Yarrowia lipolytica: one gene and its partner. The protein of the gene in region 2 interacts with the protein of the main gene of each other region in a biochemical or structural test. Links are inferred from orthologs where the notes say so. Each region holds a gene or a part of one and is shown on either strand. Other genes may lie near its edges.

Region 1 (2,866 bases), on a different chromosome or scaffold from region 2:
ATTCCCTTGTAGGATTCGCCTGAGAACCGATAATGATTTACATTAACGGCTCAGCTAGGTCGTTGCCTGCTGTACCTTACTCACCTCTGCTAAAGCTGTCTCACTAATCAGCACAGATATCAAACCTCCGTGGGGCACTGTGTGCTAATTACCATACAGTAGTCATGTCCTTCCGGTAGCTACTTTCCATGCCATCCTTATCTTAAATTGTCGTAAAGTCTTATCCTTCCTCAGTCTTGGGTCGGGTATTCCTGAATATCACCACTCTCTCGGTCCATACTAACTCTCTCCAGTTCCCCAGATCCGTGGAATAATTTTGTAGATACCAAGTTTCTGGTAATCGATAATACGATTGCATTTATTATTAGAACTACCATTAGGAGTTTCTCGCACGCCTCTCATACATAATTATCGTCACTCTAGACACATTCCTGACCACAGACGTGACTGTATCTTGCATGGAGAGATGTGTTGATACTAAAACACAATATGGTCCGCATGAGTATGTACAAAGTATTGCCATGTCGGATACATTGTTACTGTAGTTACTACTTGTAGTAGCTCGTACTTCACACCAGGAACACAGGTACAAGTACAGTATATACTGTGTGTAATGCGGATATCTACAACCACAGTATATGCTGTAGCCAATGAAGCTCTTACCTGATGGTTCGTAGACAACACCTCCGTTTATACCAACGAAGATGTTTTCAAAGCTACAGGACCAGTCAGTAAGATGGATGCTTGTGCAAGTATTTCACAAACATCTGGCCAAAGAAAAGTACAGATTCATTACATAGGCATTAAGACCAAGACCATAAGGGGGGTCTAATAAATTATGAGAAATGGATGGCGATAGGGACAACAATGACGACAATCAGAATGATAACACCAATGATGAGACAGATCTTCATCTTGAAGTCCTTCCACCACATTTGCTTCCGCACTCGGTTGGCGCCTCGTCGGAAACCCTGTGCAGAGACTGCCAGGTTATCGGTCTTGTCCTGCAGAGAGTCTAGTCGCTCACCTCGCTCGGCGACTTTGTTGATGTTCTCTCGCATGATACCCACGGTATCATCGATTTGCTGGGTTAGAATTTGTCAGATGTGGTGTTTCGGGGATATTAAGAAACACGGCCAGGGAAATGCGGTCGATAACTCATGGTGATACCAGTCACATGACACGATGATAAAGAGATCTTAACGGTGAAACGGTCCAAGAACGCCGCTCAACAGCTGGCGTCTCACAAGTGAAACCTTCAGCTCTGTTGAGTGTGTAGTCGTGCTTGTTGTGGAAGTCGTGACAGTGTGTGATACAGTTGGGCAGGCATCCGTCATAATCAGACGGTGAGCCATATAGACAAACGATCACCTGATTGCACAAACTGGTCACGCAACAAACAACCGACTCTTCTGATGCCTCCAACTGGCCACCGTGCCTTTACCATCCTCTGAGCTGCTGGTATCTCGTTTTTGTGTCTGACGTTATGTCTCCTTAATTCTCGTGAAAGTGCCACGAATTCATACTCACTGCCTGGATGGCGGCGGTCTTGTGGTTACCGCCGGGGGCGTTGGACTCGCCACCGGGAATGTAGGGGTCGTATGGGACAGAAGAGGACATGTCGGAAGTCGGGGATGTGTGACGACTGTGAGGAGTTGAGAATAATGTAGCCAACTGCAGGACTGGGTATTTTTGTGAGGTTTCACACAACAAGGTTATTTTTAGCTAGCGGCATTTGAATTTGCACGTGACGGGTTGAAAAGTGTGTTACAAGGATATGTCAGGGCTGTGTAAGTGGCAACAGTGGAGCTACGGGTCCGGGTGTTTTTTTTTTGCAGGTTTCCGTTCTCTCGTCCCTGGCTGTATCTCCTTTCTCTACCACACTTTCCCTTCTACGTCATTATTTCAACACGTACGTCTTCTCTGTGCAAGTCCCAAAATCATAACACGGAGTTACAACCAGAGGAGTTGAGGTGATTCGCACTACTTGGGAGAATGAAGGGGGAGATAATGTTTTACTGTAGAGGAATGAGGATAGGAATGAGGTATATCATTAGCTATATACCTACAAGTAGCGTAGATTTAAGTGGAACCGCCACAGTGTGTAATTTCCAACAACTTCGGCACATTTTCTGCACTCGTACATGGCTGTACATACCTCATGTATGGGCTGTACCATGTGTGGCAGAGTACACCGCCAGCTATTTACTGTACAAACGATGCCAATCGGGGCGATGAACATTTGCGGGTGCTGGTTAAGCTTGCAATAGCTACAATTGTAGTAAGCGGTACACTCCACCCTACAAAATCCCAATAGAACGGGCCCAGTACTACGATACTCGTTCGTACTTGTACTGCCACGGACTCTTGTTTAAATAATTTGTCCACATCCGCTTCTGGTTATCAGCACAACACCATAACACATGCAGTCACTCAGCCTATTGTGCCGATAGTTTGATAGTTTGAGGACAGTGGCAACGTATTCATTGAAACCCAGCCTCATGCCGCTGCCCAAGACTGTGTCTATGAGAGTGGAGGCGGATCTTGAGCTTTCGGCGCCTTTTTTAAGGGTAGCCGCCGGTAGCCAATATGGTGCTTGGATACTTTTGCCAAGCCATAGAGATGCCAGACGAATGACAAGTATGATTGGATGGAAAAAATGGATGTGAAGATAGAAAGTACTACGGACTTTTAGTGCAAAGCAGGGGCTCTGATAAGAGCTCTATGGAGTGTTCAAGTTCCATATGTCCACAGCGCACGGTATAGATACGTACCCACAGTGCATAACACAGCTACCCTTACAACCAGAGCATCGACTCCCAAGTATGAAATCGAGATGCAAGTAAACAGTCAACTAAAAACGTGA
Region 2 (3,158 bases):
TGTCTGAGACACGCCACTGGCCAGCCTGTGCAGACACAACAACTCACACAATTGGTTGTTTGTAAAGAAAGAAAACACCTCTCATAAGTCATTGGACCTCTTATTCCCCCTTAGTCAACTTTCCAATCTCCTAACAATGGTCCTTAGCTTGGTTTTAGACCGCTCCATGCTGTTCATTAGGTCCTATTTCAAATACACATTAATTTAGACCAAGACGGAATAGCGCAAGTGTCAATACTAGAGCAAATATTCATTAGACGACAAAGTCGCGAACAACTGCCAAGTCTCGAACGTGTTATCTGCAGTACTGTAGCCAACTTCTTACTGTTGCTGCAAGGTCTAGAGCAAGAGCATGTATGGAACCACCATTCTCGAAAGATTTAGAAGCCAGCAACTGTACAAGTATCAGGGTTACTCAGAGTGAGTGTCAATGAAGCGAGACTGGCGTTTGCTTGACTCTACGTCTTGGAAGAGCTACCAGTATCCGTTCTTCTCCACTTCCTACCCGCCATAGAACGCACTACCATCACCAACTTGCATTGGATACACCCTTTCATTAATAATTATAGTCAACATTACGTCATTTACCGTCTACCAAAACTTGCTGGCTAGAACCAGCAGAATGAGAATCACCAACACAGCAATGATCAGGTAGGTCAACACCTTGTTCATAGCCATCCTACGGGTCATGGACCGCAGAGTCCGAATACTCTTGTCCACGTAGCCATCTGCCTCCAGCAATGTGTTTCTCGAGTTTTGAATCTGTTCCCGCTGGCCCCGCAGGTCGGTCAGAATGTTGGCTCCAATGGACTCAGTTTCGTTGGCCACTCGTTGCGAGTCTCTGATTCGCTGCGAGCTTCGGTCGAGGGACTCCTGGCCAGACAGAAGCTGCTGTCGCTGGTCGAGAGCAATGTCGCCGTCGCCGGCCGCCGATCTGTCTCCAAAGAGCTCATTTCGAGCGCCAGCCTGCTCCACGTTGGCAAGCTGCTTCTTAGCAGACTGGATTGACTGTCGATACTGTCGCAGGTTGGCAGACAAAGGTGCTCGCGCAGACGAGGGGATGTTTTGGATTTCAACCGAGAGTTGGTCAAGCTGAGTTAGTAGGGATGAGGAGATTGTTGGGCGTCGTGTCTGTAGTCCAGCCGGATCATTAAGACTGTTAAATAGACCGGTCCAAAAAACCAGATCCATTTTTAACCAGTATGTCGTTTGTATCGACCAAATATCCCCCTTCGATACTCACAATTTCGTAGGCCTCGCCAATGGTTCGCTCAACGGCCTTGACGGCAGATGTTCGGGCGTCTGTGTTAGTACTGGAAATTGACAAGTTAAGACCCGTGTAGACATGAGAACGGACCGTATCACTGGAGTAACAGAAAGCAATTACTTGTGTCCCCCATGAACTTCTTCAGGAGTGGTTGAAGTTCAATCGAGCGCCTGCAGGAAAAAGTTGATGGTGACAGGACCATGATTCACTGTCTGGTATTTCACAGTCGTGAATAACAGAATACCCGAATTCCAAAGGGCTATAGCCGTTCAATCAGCGTTTCTTGTCACCAATAGTGAAAGATGCACCGCTGGGCAGCATCTGTCGACGACTGCCAAACAGCAATCTCGTGGTAGAATACGTCACCTGCCAGATATCAGCAGTCGAAAACATTGCGAATGCCACTTGTTCATGTCATTCCTTGTCGATCAAATACCACGTCATTGTCGAGGTTGCGCCCTTGGCTCGCCCATACTCACCTCGCTCGAGCGTCGAAATGCTCTCGAGCTTCTGCTCAATCTCGGATTGCGCCAGCAGAAAGTCCGTCTCGTAGCTCTTGTATAGTTCGCTCGCTTCCATGATGTCGTGGCGGGGGCTAGAATACAGTATGCGTGATAGTGGATAGTGCGTGATAGCGGTGTGCGGGGCTAGGGCTCAGTTCGATTCCTACGCGGGCTGATTTTCAGGATTTTTGAGGGTGATAATAAGAAGGCCGAGAGCCATAAGATGCGCTCCATAGCGGGTCCCACGGTGTATGAAACTCCATTTTCTCAATTTGGACAATTTGAGTGCAGTTTCGCCAATATATATTTAGTTGAATTCACCTAAGTAATTAAACAACTTTACTTACACCATTAGTTAACCGAACATGGTCACCATGGACTAACGGCTGAGCGAAATCTACGATGAGGAGAAATGTACAGCACATACAGGAGAGCTCACAGTACCAAGACAGACATTATAAAGCAAAGAGAGTTCATTTGTTCAATTTTTTTTTTCTTTTCGATCTGCTTTGGACCTGCATGACAGTTCCAGATCTCTTTTCATCCAGCCAATCATCATGCCCAGTATATGCAGTCTTCTACAACATTTCATAGCGGTATCTGAAGGCCCACAACTGTCTTAAGGGGTCACGAGACCTTGTGCGCGTGACCAAAATCCCGCTGGACGACAGACACACTTGAAGCAACAAGGCAGAAAACCGTTTAGCCGCTTCGTTTGCCCTATACTCGACAGACGCAGGTAGTCGGAGTGGATTCGGAGATTCCGGTTGGACACAAAAGAAACGCAGCCGGGACTCGCTCCTTGGCACATAGACATGGCAGCCGCTTTGAGAGTTGCGGGATTTGCTCAGTGAGCTCTGCGCGCTCTTTTTCCGGCCATCTATGCCTCCAGGAAGCGCGCCGACACCTGCAGACGCCGGAAACTGGAGTTGTACGCGCGACAAGGACAAAAGCCGTTTGGTTTTCGTGGAGCTATGTATACGGGCTGCAAATGCGACGGGAACGCAGGGTCAAGTTGGGTACGAGAAGGGGTCGCTTATGGACCCCCTATACGGTGGTTCCTTGTATGTGAGAAGGCGCCACAACCGTGCATGTCCGGTCAGGTACGAGTACGAACTGTACGAGAAAGGCAAGTAGACTGACAATTGTGCATCTGTATCCGCCGCGAGAAGAATGGCCATAAGAGATCGAGCGCTTTTGATTGATTCTTTGTGACCAAACCGCTTTTGTTCAGGGCATTCGAAAATAGTTTATAGTGCTGTTAGAGTCAACTAGAAGGTCAAGTATAGATCAAGTACAAGTTCAGTTCAAACACAAGTGTCGTACAAATGTCGCAATCACTCAATCACCCACCCTAGCTCATAACCTGTCGACACATCCCCCAACGT

The links.
Region 1: the proteins of YALI1_B03335g (region 2) and YALI1_E00963g form a complex in vitro, tested with the Saccharomyces cerevisiae proteins (3 studies listed by BioGRID). The link is inferred for Yarrowia lipolytica from reciprocal best matches to the Saccharomyces cerevisiae genes VTI1 and SNC2.

What each region holds. Positions count from the first base shown.
Region 1 is NC_090774.1:95,118-97,983, reverse strand, and holds YALI1_E00963g (uncharacterized protein), read right to left. Parts: upstream 1,621-2,866; coding exon 1,531-1,620; intron 1,086-1,530; coding exon 837-1,085; downstream 1-836. UniProt on the Saccharomyces cerevisiae protein: SNC1 and SNC2 are vesicle-targeting proteins essential for normal secretory traffic between the Golgi and the plasma membrane. They may also be involved in vesicle fusion.
Region 2 is NC_090771.1:332,258-335,415, reverse strand, and holds YALI1_B03335g (uncharacterized protein), read right to left. Parts: upstream 1,847-3,158; coding exon 1,747-1,846; intron 1,303-1,746; coding exon 1,244-1,302; intron 1,093-1,243; coding exon 592-1,092; downstream 1-591. Other genes in the region: YALI1_B03324g (uncharacterized protein), read right to left, coding at 2,349-2,742, 2,794-2,951. UniProt on the Saccharomyces cerevisiae protein: t-SNARE found in various SNARE complexes involved in multiple transport pathways. The composition of the t-SNARE complexes is specific for a limited number of v-SNAREs and therefore allows only the vesicles carrying the matching v-SNARE to fuse.